Linked DNA regions of Diceros bicornis minor. The protein of the gene in region 1 purifies or fractionates together with the protein of each later gene. This does not show direct contact. Links are inferred from orthologs where the notes say so. Each region holds a gene or a part of one and is shown in the gene's direction. Other genes may lie near its edges. The genes, in order: POLD3 and SPRTN.

Evidence for each region.
Region 2: the proteins of POLD3 (region 1) and SPRTN purify together in Homo sapiens (affinity purification with mass spectrometry; 3 studies listed by BioGRID, with this or other methods). This does not show direct contact. The link is inferred for Diceros bicornis minor from reciprocal best matches to the Homo sapiens genes POLD3 and SPRTN.

What each region holds. Positions count from the first base shown.
Region 1 is NC_080746.1:56,440,193-56,448,771, reverse strand, and holds the start of POLD3 (DNA polymerase delta subunit 3), read left to right. Parts: upstream 1-4,858; 5' UTR 4,859-5,005; coding exon 5,006-5,065; intron 5,066-6,425; coding exon 6,426-6,481; intron 6,482-8,579. UniProt on the Homo sapiens protein: Accessory component of both the DNA polymerase delta complex and the DNA polymerase zeta complex.
Region 2 is NC_080745.1:24,863,182-24,871,471, reverse strand, and holds the start of SPRTN (DNA-dependent metalloprotease SPRTN), read left to right. Parts: upstream 1-4,423; 5' UTR 4,424-4,708; coding exon 4,709-4,929; intron 4,930-5,988; coding exon 5,989-6,088; intron 6,089-8,290. Other genes in the region: EXOC8 (exocyst complex component 8), read right to left, coding at 1,935-4,112. UniProt on the Homo sapiens protein: DNA-dependent metalloendopeptidase that mediates the proteolytic cleavage of covalent DNA-protein cross-links (DPCs) during DNA synthesis, thereby playing a key role in maintaining genomic integrity.

The sequences.
Region 1 (8,579 bases):
AATTCAAACACGAGTAAAGAAAAAATAAAATGAGGAAGAGAATAAAGATCAACCAAATGCTATCTCCTAAAGACACTGACAGTGCCTGAGCAGGGGCTTTGGGCACAGCTAGGTGGAAAGAGGTCTCCACCACTTATGACCCATATGGTTGGGGCTAGTTACTTAACCTCTCCGAGCTCCAGCTTCTTCATCTGCAAAACAGGGATAACAGTAGGTAAATAATAATATTTACTTATTTTACAGAATTGTTTTGAGGATTAAATGAGAATATTCAAGTAAAGGGTCTAGTATGGTGCTTATATACTTTACATACTCAATGAATGATAAGAAAAAGTGAACACTATCTCAGGTCACCTTGTTTCTTAATCCAGTGTTTTTCCCCCTTAAATCTTGCCTTCAGTGTAATTGAAGTTAAGTCAATAAACATTTACTAAGAACCTATTAGATGCTGATGTGGTTGTTGTTATGTTAGAAGGAGGCCAGTTCTAAAATCCTACTTAGTTATTAGTTTAAGCAAAGCTTGTCTTGGAACCTATATCGAATCATTTCCTATTCACTCTTCCTATTGATAACATAAAATTGATTTCAAATTTGAGTCCTTTTTGGTGAAGGAGTAATAGAATAGAATAGAATAGCAGGGTTATTTGAGGATGAAATGAGTCATTCTACGAAAGGTACCCACACATGGTAGGTGCTCAATAGACAATAGTTATTATCCCAGCAATGCACACGAGCTGAAAGACTTTCACACCTATGATTTATGGAAGTGAAAGTACAGAGAGGTCCTCTTTTCTGGTTTAGTTTTTTGTTTTTTTTTGGTGAAGAAGATTACCCCTGAGCTAACATCTGTTGCCAATCCTCTTTTTGCTGAGAAAGATTGGCCCTGGGCTAACATCCGTGCCCATCTTTCTCTACTTTATATGTGGGATGCTGCCACAGCATGGCTTGATAAGCAGTGCGTAGGTCTGTGCCCGGGATCCAAACCCGAGAACTCTGGGCCACCAAAGCTGAGCGTGCGAACTCAACCACTATGCCATCAGGCTGGCCCCTGTGGTTTACTTTTGACCCTAGAACTAAGCTTTCAGGCATCATCTAGAAAAAACACTAATTTCCTGGACATAGTCCTATTCTTGTTTACTGGCTTTTGCTAGCTATAGTTCCAACTCTCTAAACCTAATCTAACTTTCTGTCCCCTGCCCTTCCAACAACTGCCCTTCCAACAACTGCCTTGAAAACTTCCCAGGTTAACTTGTTTGCCTGGATTCTATGTTCCCACAACCTGTAGATAATCAACATATACCATTTGTTTCTTGGCTTCCGCAATTCTCATTTTGATGTGCACAGGGATTCCTCCAAAGTTCTGCAATAAATGTGTTTGAGTTCACTGTATTTATTATTGGTTTTCCTATATGCAGGTGTAAACTAATAACGAGACAGCAAAACACAGTGTTTACGATCATAGATGCTGGAGCCAGACTGCCTGGGTTTTAGTTTTAGCTCTGCCCCTTACTCTGTGATCTTGGGCAAGTTACTTAACCTCTCTGTGCCAATGTTTACTTATGTGGAAAAATGGGATAATAACGCACCTTACTTTCTAGGGTTCTTATGGACATTACATGGGTTAATATTTGTAAAGCACTTGGAACAGAGCCTGGCATATAGTTAGTGGTATATAAGTGTTTGTTATAAAATACTAGTTATCATTTATAAAAAGCTTAGCTATCTACCAGCCACAGAACATGTTACTTTCAATCCCCTTAATCACAAAAGGTAAATTATTTATACTGGTGTTCTAGAGCTGGTCTGTGTTTGCTTAGGAGAGCCAAATGTTGAAGTTTCAGAAAGTTTGCAAGTCAGTTGTTAAACAAGGCAATTACTAAAAATTAAATTATATAAATTTATAATTAAACAAATTATATTAAAAACAAAGACAATAAAGATTCGAATCTCATCACTTCCTAATTATTTTACTGCATTTTACTACTATTTATGCTCTTGAGGTTATTTGTTTATTGTACTTGAGTGGTGGAAATAATGGTGTGATATTGTGTACCTTTTCCTAACTCTGCAATCCGTGACATCAATATTGGTAGCTTGAAGTCTGCTATGGTGGGAATATTTACACCACAGAAGTTGGCAACCACTACAAATGAGGGCTTTTTTATTCAGTAAATTGGTTGTTAAACATTTATCAGTATACCACTGCATATTATTATCCCTTCTTTAAAGATGAAACTGAGGACTAGAGAGGTTAAATGATTTGCCTAAGGCCACACAGCTAGGAAGTGGTAGAGCTGGGATTCAAGCCCAGGTTTTTGTTTGTTTGCTTGCTTGCTTTTTAAAAGAAAAATTTTATTTCCAAAGCCCACATGCTTTCTATTCAGCTATGCTCCCCTGAGGTGGGAATGTTCAGGCTGGGTAGGCCTCGGCCACAAACAGAAAAGCTAACCCTTCCCTTCCCCCTCCGGCAACCTTACCCTTAAGGTACAAGCCCAACTCCCAGCCTACCCACTCCTGGGCCGTGGTCATTCTTTTCTAGTACCATTACTCCACCTCAGATTTGGAGATGCCTTTGGTCATTTATCTTATTTGATAATCCCATTACTATCTTGCTTGGGGTCCATTTTTACCCATTATCCCTTCTTCCCAGAATCTCTCTTCTTTTGTCTAAGGTTAAGACTAAATCCATTCTTTCCAATACCTGTACCTGTTTTCTATTTTCCTGGTTTGACAAGACTTGGGACAGTATTTAAGACTCTTCAAATAATCACTTTTCTTAAACTCTTTATTGGCGTGAACATACATACAGAAAACTATACATATCAGAAGTGTACAATTCAAATCATTTTCACAAACTCAACCTACCCATGAGACCAGTGCCGAGATCCAGAACCAGAACATCACCCTTTTCTCCGAAGCCTTCCACTTCCTACTCTCCAAAGGGTAACCACTAATCTGGCTTCTAAAAGTCATGCAACTCTCTTAATATTGGTATATCTAGGACCACGGTGGGCCAGCATTATCATCTCTCCCTTTGGCATAGGGTTAGTATTCAGACTCCTCTCTGGTGAATTATCTTGACTTATTTCCCACTCCTGTGTAGCAATGACAAGAAACTTGAGTTCCAATCCCAATGCTACCACTTAACCCTGTGACCTAGAAAATCCATGTCTCCTCTCTCTTTTTTTTTTTTGTTGAGAAAGATTCTCCCTGAGCTAAGATCTGTGTCAATTTTCCTCTATTCTGTATGTGGGACATTGCCACAGCATGGCTGACGAGTGGTGTAGGTCCACACCCAGGATCCAAACCTGTGAACCTGGGCCACCAAAGTGGAGTGTGCTGAACTTAACCACCAGGCCAGGGAGCCAGACCCAGCCATGTCTCCTCTCTTAAGCCTAGGCAATTTAGTCTATAAAATCTGGACAAACACAAGGCATTTGCAGGGTTGCTATCAGGATTAAATGAAATCTCACTCTCAATGCACCTGGTACAGTGTGCCTGGTATATAGTACTGTAATAGCCAAATGTTATTGATTTTATTGTGTGCAGACATAGTGTGAGGGGTTTATGTATATTATCTTGTTTATAACTCTGGCCAAATAGAATTCTTTGATTTCCTCATCTTCTCTTTCTCTCAGTCTTCTACATCTCAGTAGTCAAATGCTTTACCATTTACCTAACAATTTAGGTTCCAAATCTAGGCATTTTCCTTGATTCCTGTCTTTCCCACACTCCTCTCATCTACTTCATCAGCAGGTTTTGCTGACTCTAAAAAGAAGACCCAAGTCACTCAGGTCTCTCAATTTCCACTACTACTATCCTACTTTAAGCCACTACCATCCGTCACTTAAATCTCTTCACAAGGCTGTAAGCTATATGTGAACAGGTTCTGTGTATTATTGATCATAGCTGTATCCCCAGCACCCCAGCACCCAGAACAGTGCCTGGCCCTTAGTAGGCTTTTGCTAAGTATGTCTTGAATGAATGCATGTAGCAACAAACGTTCGAAGTGGGTACTATTATTACTTTCATCTTATAGATGGAGAAACAGACTTGCAGTGGTTAAATAACTCACTTAAGGTCATACAACAAATATCAAAACCAGGATTCAAATCCAGGCTCTAACTCTAGATAACTGCTGGATTATCCATAATGCTGCTGCATTGAACTACATTGGCTGATGCTGAAGTCAATGATAAAGGTTGTTTTTTAGTGGATGTTAGGAGAAATTTTAGTTGCAATTCCCCAACCTGAAAACTTTTCCCGAGAATAAAGTCCATGTGCCCCTTCACAGAGCCTTGTAGGCGCAGCATGATTTGGCTTCTCCCAAGTCTCATTCCTCCTCTTTCTCCTCTTCTCCCAACATTCCAGCTATGGTGAACCTTTTTCTCTTACCAGCAACGCTCCTGCCTGTATCTGAAACACTCTGCTTCTCCCATCCCCTCTGGAAAACCTTCCCGAATGTTCGATTCTGAGGGATTTATAACAAGCAGCACCTTATCCCTGCTGGCATTACTTTACTAATACTACTTGTTTATTTCCGTCTCTATTGTTCACTGCTGGGTCCCCAGTGCTAAAGAAGTGCCTCAAATAGAATAGGTACTTGATAAATATTTGTTGAATAAAGGGATGCAAGAGCAAGGATTATTTCATCAACTTTCATGTGGAGAGACTGTGGCTCCTCGAGGTGAGGTATTTTACCCTGGGTCAGTCATTAACTAGCAGAGCTGAGATTTGAAACCAGAGATTCCCAGACAGCCCGTCTAGTCCACGCCCGCTCTCCCAGCTCCTCACTTCCGCCCGCTCCTACAAGCTCCGCCCACTTCAGCCTGCGCCATCTCGGAGACTAGTTTGACCCTCGGACGGCCGCCGTAGCGCGTCGCCTCCGTTGCCGTGGGAAACGACCCGGGACCTGGGTGGGAGAAAAGACGTTTCCCGCCGGCGGGAGCTGCGCTTGTGGCGGCAAGGGGAGCTCTGAGGCGGCGGGGACCGGCGTCGCAGCACCATGGCGGACCAGCTTTATCTGGAAAATATAGACGAGTTCGTCACGGACCAGAACAAGATCGTGAGGAGCTAGGACTGGGGAAGGCGGGCGTGCGACGGGGGTCCTGGGCCCAGCGAGGGCGGCGGGGGTCTTGACCCCTCGGCGTGTGTCCTCGTGGGGACCGGCGAAGGGAGAGGGGGGTCCACGCCTCGTGCCTCAGGGCCAGCGAGGACTCGCGGAAGAGGCCCTCTGGCGCGCGCGCAACTCCGCGTCCCTCGAGTGGGCGTGCCCACGCCCCAGGGGCCGTGGAGGTCAGGCGCGGAGGGCGGGGCGTTGGTTGATAATATTTCTAGGGTGTCCCTACACCTGTCTGATAAGGTGGTTGGCGTTTAAGTCCCAAGTTTACAGTTGAGGAAATTATGTCTTAACTGGGTTAAGTGACAAGTTGTTGAATTTTCTGACAGTCGGTTTCCTCTTCCTGTAAATTTGGTATGGACACAGGCTTGACCTGCCTCACAGGTTGGAGTAAAGCTCAAGTGAGATGATGGATGTGAATGCGCTTTGCAAACCGTGGGTAATTGAGTGCCTGCTGTGAACTTTGGATCCACATTATTGCATTTAATCTTTACGGTGACCTACCGAGAGTTAGAAAAGGAAGTTGAAGCAGAGGGGCCAAATAATTTCTTTATACAAATAAAGTAAGGATTTATACGAATTAGTAGGGGATAGGCATTTTTCCAACCTAGGTCTGTCTCTTGCTAATGCTTTCTTCTACATCATACTGCCTTTGCCTAACCTATGTAAGTCTTCTAATTATTGGAAACAGCATTTAGAATTGGAAGACTTTGAGAGGAGAGTGATAGGCATGCAAGGAGGCGACAAGTGACAGGAGAGTTCAAGGAAGGATGGAAGGAAGATCAAGGCTTGATGCATTTAGTTCCCAGTCTACCCTCTGATGCAGTATTCATCCACTTCATTCATTCTCTGGCCCCTGCACCACTGGTGCCCTTTAATGTTTGTTTGTATGGCTGCAACTTTCCTTAGAAGTTTCCAAGTCATACACTTCAAAGAAATCTAGCTTCTGGGTGAATTTGAAGATAATTTTTGGTGGTGGCCCCAAAAAGGGACAGAATGTGAAAAAAAGAGCCTTAGTAAAACAAGGAGTGTGAGAAAAATGAGAGCCCTTTTCTTTCTATGTATATTCAACCTTTCTTTTTAGACTCTTTTGCATTAATTGGTCTGTGAAACAAACTTCTTAGTATTTGTAAGAGAAATCTCTCCATCCTGCCTGCCCAGATGGATCATTCTTGGCAAACTGGGGTGGCATCTATTGTAATTTATAAAGTGTAATCATCTAAGAGTAGGACCTTTTAGGACCCCCTGGGACTGACCTGCACTCTGGAGTCATCTGATAAAACGTTTAAAAAATTTCTTCTTGCAGGTGACGTACAAATGGCTGAGCTATACACTAGGGGTTCACGTCAACCAGGCCAAACAGTAAGTCCAATTTATTACTAATTTTAATCGCATTGGAGTTTTTCGTTTTGCTTTGTTTTTTAGCTTTACAGATGACCTCTAGGTTAGAATTATTTTTTTTTTTCTGGAAAAATGGGAAAGCATGCTATTTTTACTACCTTTTACTACTTTTATTATTTTGGAGATAAGTGGACTTCTACTCAAATGTGTGGTGATACATTTACTGGGTTTATTTGTAACCTTGCCCTCTGGTTAATATCACTTTGTTATATCAAATTTATTAAACAGACTAGCCAGTTCTGTTTATACCTCAGATTTATATGCCTGTTATCTCACATCTTCATTATGTTTTCACACGTGCTCCTTAGGCCCATCTCTGGGTGTTATTGACATACTTCCATAATGAGGTCAACAGGTGTTTTACACAAGCTGTATAATAGTATGAGACGGGAGAACTTAAATAGTTTTTTTAACTTCACTTAAATAGTGAAACTGAAAAGCGAGTGTTTAGGATGGCATAGAGCATTACCTTTCTTGAATTTGCCATATCACTTTTCCTTGCTGAAACTTATAGTCCAACTTGAGGCCAAAAGGGAGAAACAAACTTTGGAATTAACTTCAAAAATTTCTTGACCTGCAAATATGCAGATGTTGTTTATGTCCCAAGAGGAGGAATTGGTGAACAGGCTGAGGGCACATATATTGCGTGAAATACTCATTTAGTTTGTTTTATTCCTGAAGGTAGTCTGATTTTCCCTATTCCTTGAGTCATAGGAACATTCCATGAGTCTTAGAAAATCCCGGATCTCTAAAATGGGTAGATTTGGCTTTATTTGGTTTGCTGTTTGACAGATTTAGGAATCTGATTTTGACTGTGATGTTTATGCCTTCAAGACCTGAAACTCTTGGCCCAGGAATGGGTTTGGACTGATTTTGACTGAGATTGCTGTTGCTAAGACCGGTCCTGGCCCAAACCCAAGAGGTTCAGGTAATTTTGAGAATGGACACCTGTAAGAGTAATAATTTGTTGCGGTTATGAACGTTTAAATATAAAATAAGGTAACTATTAGATAAGCCTGTTGGGGTTTAAAGGTGCATGTTGAGGACTGGAGATGAAATAAATTTGCCTGCAATTTTACTGTAGCTACTCTTATTACTTGTAATTTTTATAGAATTAACATACTGTTTAGGCCCTGCCTATCTACCAACTTCATCCCATGCCACTCTCTACCTCACTTATACTCTAACCGTATTTGCCTTTCTGTTCCTCATATATCCCAAGCCCGTTCTCACCCTGGGACATTTGCACCATTCCCTCTGGCTGGAATGCTCTTCTCCCAGCTGTCCTCATCCTTTAGGTTTCAGCTCCAATTTCACACGTTATTTCTTGTAACAGCCCTTCCCTAATGCTCTATTTCAGGTATCCCCACCACTCCCTAGCTCTCTGTCATATCTTCCTGTTAATTTCTTTCATAATTCTTTTTTTTAAAAAACAGCTTTATTGGGATAGAATTTACATACAATACAATTCACCCATTTAAAATGTGCAATTCAGTAGTGTTTAGTATATTCACAGTTGTGCAGTCATCGCTGCAATTAATTTTAGAACATTTTCATCACCCCAAAAAGAAACCCTGTATCCATGAACAGTCACTCACCATTTTCCCCCTATTTCGGTCCCCCCCCCCACCTCCCTCCAGCATTAGGCAGCCACTAATATACTCTGTCTGTAGATTTGCCTATCCTGGACATTTCGTATAAATGGCATCATACAATATGTAATCTTGTGTGTGTGATTTCTTTCACTTAGCATAATATTTTTAAGGTTTGTCCATGTTATAGCATGTAGCAGCCCTGCACTCCTTTTTAGGGCTGAATAATATTTCATTACATGGTGTATTAGTTTTCTAGGGCTGCCATAAAAGAATACTACAAACTCGGTGGCTTAAAACAACAGAAATTTATTGTCTCGCAGTTCTGGAGGCTAGAACTCTGAAATTAAGGTGTTAGCAAGGCCATACTCCCTCTGAAACCTTCGTAGAGGAGAATCCTTCCTTGCTTCTTCCTAGCAATCTTTGCTGACAGTCTTTGGCGTTCCATGGCTTTTAGCTGCATAACC
Region 2 (8,290 bases), on another chromosome or scaffold:
AATTCTAACAGAAGAAAATTCTGTACTTCCAGTTTTAAAAAGCTGATATATCTGAGCATACACATTTAAGTTTTTACAACTTCATGACTTCAGAGAAGTTCTGATTTCAGAAGTATCATTTCATGGACCCAGCATCAAATATTTACACAATACATGTTTCATACAATATAGTTTTAGAAACTGTAAGTAGCACAAAGTAATCACAAAATTTTGATCATATTCAAGTTTCCAGTGATCTTAAAAGCGACAAACTATAACTGTTTTTGGTCAGCTGAGATATCCAGTTATATGGTTATTATCTAGAAAATCCTAAAGTTATATGAAAAAATTAGTCAAAGAAAATCTGTAACTTTGATCATTTCCAACCTTGTAAATATGCATAGGTAAAAATAAAATAAAAGGGCTCATCTGGCATCTGAGTCATTAACTGAAAGAGCTCTACAACCCTCCCTAAGCCACTATTTGGAAGCTATTTTAGGTTTTACATAATTTCCACAGTCTTAATACCACTATCTTTATTCAGATAAAAGAAATGACCTTTTGAAGTCATCAGCATCAGAAATGGCACTTATGGACAGGAATGACAACTAGAAGCTAGGGGAGAAATGGATCTTAGCACAATTTCTCTCCAAGCATGAGAAATGTTATAATCAAGTACAATAGAAGCAATAGGTTAGAAACCTTGGGAAGCTCAAATTTCTTTAGTTATTTTTGTTTTACTAAACAATCTGAAGTAAGCATTATATTCACTTTAAAAACAAAACAAGGAAAATAAAAACTAAAACAAGAAAAACGCAGCATGGAGCATTTCAGTGGGAGTCACCAAATCGCTTGGGCACTGTGTCTCACCTTTCTGTTCTCCACTCGGTTACAAAAAACCAAAAACAAACCTCCAAAGTAGTCATCCGGAGAACACTGTGGGGTTTGCATAGGATTTTTTCTAATTTCCCATCTACCCAGACCCTGAAATTTAAATAAATGTTTCAATGAAAACTTGGCCCGATTGGCATGGAGTCTGACCACTCTGTAACCTAGGCTGACAGTGGGGGAGGACAGCTAAAAACCACCAGCTGCTGTCAGGTTCTTCAATGTGTCCTGTTTTTTATTATTTTTATTTTTTTAATATGAAAAGACAACAGCTCCAGCTGGAAATTCAAACAATTCAGGAATATGCTGAAAAAAATATTTATCATAGTCCTTAAGATTTTCAAGTAAATGCTCCCAAATCAAATATTATAAAGCTGCTAATTAGCAGCTGAAAATCATTAGCCATTCAAATTACATTAGAAATGTTTGCTGCACTGTTTTTATGAAAGCTTCCTCTTGTATTCTATAAGGATCAGAGTGTTTGAGTCCACACTAGCTACTCTCAAGAAGCAATTCTGTTGACTGAAATTTACCCTAAAACCAATTTTCTCAACTCCTCCTTCCTTGTCCCCAAATTGTTCAATCACATTTTAAGGTGAAGTATATTAAGCATTTTAAGGAAGTATATAAAGCAGGGTGTTTTATACGGCATTGTCTCCTTTAAGAAACCTAACATTTTAGTGAACTAGGAAACGTTTCACAACATACTTAAACTCTATGTATTTATAGATATTATTTTTCTCTGCTGCATAATATATACTGTGAGAAAGTGTGTTTTGACTCAAAGGATAAGCTGAAATGCTGTAATGTGATAATATATTCATTAGAGAATGAGCATGATTTAAAAGAAAAGCATATTATATATTTTACTAATTCCAATGTTATTGTTATTTAGGGTTAATTTAACATCTTTTTCTTTCTCCTTTTGATTTTGCATTTCTAACTGAGAGGGCATCTTTTATTTTTAAGCTGTGTTTGAGACTATAAAGAATATGCTAATACAACTTAATATAAATATAAATAATATATAAGCAACATATACGTATACATATAAACAGACCCAAGCATCAGACCACTGACGTTGTACTTTCAGGATTCACACGAATAAGTCTAGATGCATTCCTCAGGTCCTGGAGTTGCTTGGCGGGTTTCCCCACACCTTCTTCAAACCTTTTCTCCACCACAGGGAGGACTGTTTCATATAGGAAGGATGCATTCTGTCTGATAAAGGCCTTCTTCTCTGGATCCTGCTCACACCGAAGACTATAATCCACATGCTGAACAGCAACCAAAATGATTTCCACCAGGCTCTCCAAAAGTACCATGTGCAGCTCTGGGAAATACAGCTTCAGTGCTTCTTCCAAGAAGCCCATGGTCTGCTTGGTAAAGGCCACCACTGTGTAACTGAGGTTCACCCAGCAGTCATCCCCTGTGTACTGCTCGAAGTTACTCACCCCACAACTCTTCATCTCCTCTTTGAGTTTACCCAGGGCCTCTGGAGTCATCAAGTTCATCCTCCTCCACATCTCCTCCGAGTTGCGATGTTTAGTGGCTTCAATTATGATCTCTTTGTAACTGTGCAAGGCACCTTGGATGTCTTTCACCAGAAGGGCGTGGATGATGAAGGTAAGGTCTAGTCCGATGTCACCCAGTTGCTGACAATGCTCCTTTGCCACTTTTACACACTCGGCTGCTGTAGAGAGGCTCTCCTTACTGTCAAACACCTGCTTGCTAAAAGCATCCACAAACATGCCCATGGCTGATCTCGCCCAGACCACAAAGGCAGAGTAGCAGCCGCTGTCAGTGCCTGAAAAATCTGTCTCAAATTCCCTTGCAGTCTCAAGAAGGCTGGTAAAGAAGACATGGCATAGCTTATGAATGTACAGTAAAGTGGCACCTTCAATGCGAAGCTGACGGATGGCAGTGTGCACAGCTGCTGCCCTGTTTCTCAAGAAGAGCTCACAAGCCTTCGTGCACTGGCCAAGCCGGATTAGTTGAGAAACTGCCCTGCGAGTAGCCTTGGGACCACCTCTCAGGGAACGATCTGGGGAGAGTTCAAAAACCAACACCTCAGTGAGCTGTCGGACACGCTCATCCACTTTGGCCCTTAGTTCTTTTACAGGAGGTGGACTGGGCTTATCTTCCAGGTAATGGTTCAATTTATCCAGCAGGTCAACGGCCCCTTCAAAGTCCCTCTGGGCAATACAAACATCCAGGTCTTCAGGCAACTCCTGGATCCATTCCATTGAGAGGTCCACCTTCTCTTCCTCTACCTCAGGAATAGCTGGTTCGTCGTCGTCTTCATCCTCAAATGGGTTACTGGCCTTGGAAGTCACTTGGGGTGGCCCTCGAGGGGCCGCTGCCTCCTCCTGCTCCCTTCGTCTCTTTTCACCGAGGGCCCTCTTCGTTTCCTCCAGCACTTCCAGCCACTCCCGTTTAATTTTAGCATTTTCTGCCTGAAAAATACGGCTCTCGGGAAACATCAGCAGCTTGAACATGTCCTTCATGGGCGGGTTGTCCTTGACATTGACCACAGCCAAACCATCTAGAGGATAGAGAGCGTCGTAGCGATACATCCCCCGCCGCTGTGGCAGCCAGGTGGCCACCAGCAAACAGTCGTTCATGAGAAAGCCGTGCACCCGCTGCACTTGGGCCATGTGGTCCGCGTCGTATTCCACCAAGTCCCCGTTGTACACCAGGTACTGTCCCGGCGTCTCTAGCAGGTGCCTGCAGCCTTCCACCTTCTCCAGCAGAGTGGTGAGAGTGCGCTGCTTTCCTTCCTCGCCCGACCCGGAGCTGTCGCGGGAGGCGCCCCCGGGGGTGGGAAAGAAGCTAGCCTGGCCGCGGAAGTGGTCTCGGCCGGCCGGGCCGCCCCCTGCCTCCTCCCCTCCGGAGGCCGCGGCGGCCCCAGCGGCGGCGGCAGCTGGCAGCAGGGTGAGCGGGATGCTCTCCAGGCTGCTCTTCTGCTCCGTCAGCAGGTGGCTGAGCTGATACATCTCGCTCTCCAGGTAGGAGATCTCGCGGGCCGTCTCGATGAACTGCCGGTAGTTCTGGTAGACGTTGCGCTTCAGGTTCTGCGCCGTCTCCTCCGCCAGCGCCTGGATGCGCTGCCGGTGCTCCTGCAGGTCCCGGTCCCCGTCCGACTGCTGCGAGAGCTGCTTCACGTACAGCCGCGCCTCAAAGCCCCCCGACTCCAGCTGTCGCCGCAGGCGGCTCGCCCCACTGTCCGACATCGCCATCGCCATTTCCGTCCGGGCCCCACGCAGTCACTGTCACTATCGCTGCTGACGGTGCCGCCGCTGTCGAGACCCACCCAAACCCCGCCGAGCTCCAGGGCTGAGGAACAGATGGGAGACAGACAAGTACGCCTGCGCTCGAGTCTGAGCGTTAGACACTGCGCCTGCGCGAGGGGCCGGGCGCAGACAATGCGTCTGCGCAGGAACGCCATTGGCCTAGAGCGCGTGCGCCGGGGGAGTATTGCGGAAGTGAGTAGAGGGAAAGGCAAAGAGACGTAGGTAGTGCGCATGGGCCGAGCGTGGCGTTGGTGTTTGAAGTTACCGGCGAAGCGTAAAGGCGATAACCAGCTTAGTGAAACCTTCCTCTCGCCCAAGCCCTGGGAATCCCAGTTTCGAGCCCACTAGGAGGTGTCACGCTGACTTCTTTTTTTTAAGCCCCAGAATCCTGGTGTCGGCCTTGGGGGCAAGCTGAGTTCTCGTTCTCGCGCCAGTTTTCCTGAGTTCTCGCGACATCGGCGGGCTGACCCGAGAGCCGGTATCTCCCAGGAGCTCCACCCGGCCCTTGGGTTTCTGAGCCGGCGGACCTCGCTGGGATCCTGGCAGCGATGGATGAGGACCTGGTTTTGGCACTACGGCTTCAGGAGGAGTGGAACTTGGAGGTCTCGGAGTGCGATCAAGCCCAGGAGCCCTTGTCACTGGTGGACGCGTCCTGGGAGTTGGTGGACCCCACCCCGGATTTGCAGGCCCTGTTTGTGCAGTTCAACGACCGGTTCTTCTGGGGCCAACTGGAGGCCGTCGAGGTGAAGTGGAGCATGCGAATGACCCTGTGAGTCCCGAGCCCGTTGGGGAAAAGAGGCGGCTGGCTGCCCTTCCTCAGCCCCTGGCCCTGGGCTTCTCTTCTTCTCCGCCTCGACGGCCCAGGGGCCGTTAAACGAGGGCGTCTGGTTTTGGACCAGGCACCTCCTCTCCGTGTATTTCTCCCTTTCCTACCCTATCTCTCTTTCCCACCCAGACAACTTTAAGAAAGCTGTGTGGCCCACCTCGCTACGGTTTGACTTATAGGGGACACAATGAGAGAAGAGGATGTTTCTTTGAATCTCACCTCACTTGAAAATAAATTAACACATTTCTGATTTGATTTACTGTAGTGTTTTAGGAGCCAGGAAGGAGAAGCAACCAGAGTCTGGAATGCTGAGGACGCAGTGAAACCTCCAGAGGCGTGTTGTCCTCTTCTATGCTCATTAGGATCGCACCGCTTAGTAGTGAGCTCGTGTGTTAGAGTGGGCAAGGGCTTGACGTTTCCGTATTTCTGGACCTAAGGGGTCTTCGGGGATGCCTCTAAAAGGATTCCTTTCCTACACGCTAAATTTGAGAAATCTCGATTTGAAATAATCGAGTCCTGTACAGGAACGGAGTTAACAAGTTTAAGATGCGGTTGTATATTACCGTGCTTGTTTTTGAAGTGATACAAAACAACCTAAAATAAAACAGATTAAGATATCATATAAAATTGTGTTTAAAGTGCACGTTTTCTTCACATAGGCTTGTATTATAATTTTGAGATGTGCTAATGGAGATCTGGCTGTTACTGCCACAAACTGATTATAGTTTGTAGGGAGGAGACTGGGAGCAGCAGAATAGGATTATCTTCTTTGAGCTGTTGCAGCCTGGTTAGGGTAAGGGAAGCCACTACTGTTCACATATGTCCATAACTGGGGTGAAATGCAAATATCTCCCAGGGAAGAGGGTATACTTTTAAGAAAGCCATCTGCCGTAGAGTTCTCAGTGTGAACTGCCCAAGAATGTATATGGGTTTGCTCTTTCCTCTCTATTTCCCTTTTGTATGTATTTGGTAAATCATGCTTTTGTGGTGGTTGTTTTCCAGGTGTGCTGGGATATGCAGCTATGAAGGGAGGGGTGGAATGTGTTCCATCCGTCTCAGTGAACCCCTTTTAAAGTTGAGACCGAGGAAGGATCTTGTAGAGGTATTCTTTGCATAAACTTGATTCTTAATTCAGTAACTTAGAAATGCTTATTATTGATTTAGACTCCTGTGAATTAACCTGTACGTGTCAAAAAAGGAAACTAGTTTTCCCTCATTGCAAACTTTGTGGGGCAGATAATAATGATTACCTTCTATTTTTATAGTGCTTCAAAGTTAAAGGCTTTCATGTATATTATCTAAATTGATCTTTACAACAACCCTGTTTATGTTCATTGTGTGTTATCCTCATTTTTATAAAAGGAAATTAAGATTCAGAGAGATTAAGTAACTGGTTTAAGTTACATATTTAGAAGCAGAGAAAAACTTAGGATTCAGATCTTCCTATTAAGACACAAATTTTGACTCTCCTTTATTCAACCACCATGGTCCTGCCCTCCCAGGACATCTAGCCCAGCTGGCAGAACAAACCAGCGTGAGGGCACACTTCCTATCTGGAGCTAGTGGTCACTCCTGCTAGCAAAATGGAACAGTGGGAACTCTTAGATTATGGTTAGTTGAGTCTAACAGATGCCTGAAATTCTCCAGGATGCACCCAGTGTGACTTGTCTTGCCCCAGTTATATCACTTTGTATGCACAAAAGAGCATAGGGTGGTAGACATTGGATGGGAAATATGTTAAAACATGCTTGGAAATATGAGGGATGCTGTTTTTAAGGATAATAAAAGGTAATGAGTTTCACAGCAGTATGAATGTACTTAACATTATTGAACTGTACACTTAAAAATAGTTAAGATGTAAATTTTATGTAATGTGTTTTTTACCACAATTTTTAAGAAAGTAAATAGCTAATAAATGTAAAATAGTACAACAGAAATACTTGATTAATAAAAAAGGAAAGAGGAATAAAGGAACAAAGCCTGGATAAAGAGAAAGGTAGGCATAAGCACAATATCAATAATTATATTAAATGTAAATGGACTAAACACTCCAGTTAAAGACATGAAATGACACACTAGATTAAAAGAGACATACTTAAAATAGACACACATATGTTAAGTGTAAAAGGATGGAAAAAAGTAAATAGAAAGTTGTTGTGGCTATATTAGTATTAGACTAAAGATTTTAAAGGAAGAAGTTTTACTTGGAAAAAAGGGGAGATATTTTATAGTGATAAAATATTCTATTAAATAAAAACATAACAAGCCTAAAAGTAATTACATAGCTTTAAGCAAACGAAGCATAAATTAGCAGAAGCAAAAAGAGAAATAATCCACAGTCAGAGTTGCGGATGTTATAAGTCTCTTGGTAACTCAATGAATAAGCAGAAAAAAAATAGTAGACGTAAAACAAAAAAAATCGAACAACATGATTAACCAAATCAACCTGACAAGGAGCCCTAATTGGAATAATAGTGGCTTAATGAATATTTATTGCATAAATGATTAAATAAACATATGAACAAATTTTGTTTAAAAGATAATGGGTGAGAAGAGAATGGGAAATGTGTGGTAATGGTATCAGCTGAGCATTTGCTGTGGGTGGAAAGTTACAGTATCAAATCGGGTAAGAAGGACACAGGAGGAACAGTGGGACCCTGGTCTGTATTTAAAGTAGCTACCTAAATTATAATGAATAGGTTCAGAGAAGGAAAGAACTCTATCTGGTTGAGGAGGTCAAGAAAAGCTTCATACATGCAGAGTTTATTACTACTACTATCACCACTCCTACCACTCACTCACTATTGAGCACCTGTTGTGTGCCAGACTTTGGACTAGATTAACTAGTGTTAATATAGTTAATCTAGAGTATGCTTTACCACAACCCTGCAAGATTAGGATATCCCCATTTTAGGGATGAGGAACAAGTTGTAACTTGTGCAAGGTCTCAGGCACAATAAATAACAGATCCTTGGCTTAGACTCTAGTTTCCCTGGCTCTAAAGCTCTTGTCCTGTCCCCTGTACCACTTGGCCTCATCACTACTGCCTTGTAACTATCACCACTGCTAATTAAAACATGGAGGTGAGCCTTATAGGACAGATTGGATTCTGACGAGTAGAGATAGTAGGGGAGACTACTCTTGGCAGAAGGAATGGGAATGTTATGAAAAAAAATGAGGCCATTAAACTTGTGGCATATTGAGAATCAGAAGTAGTTGCTTTTGGCCAGATACAGAACAGTGGTGGGAAATAAAGGTGTTTTGGGACTGTGTTATGTAGAGCCTTGAATCTAGCCTAAATGTG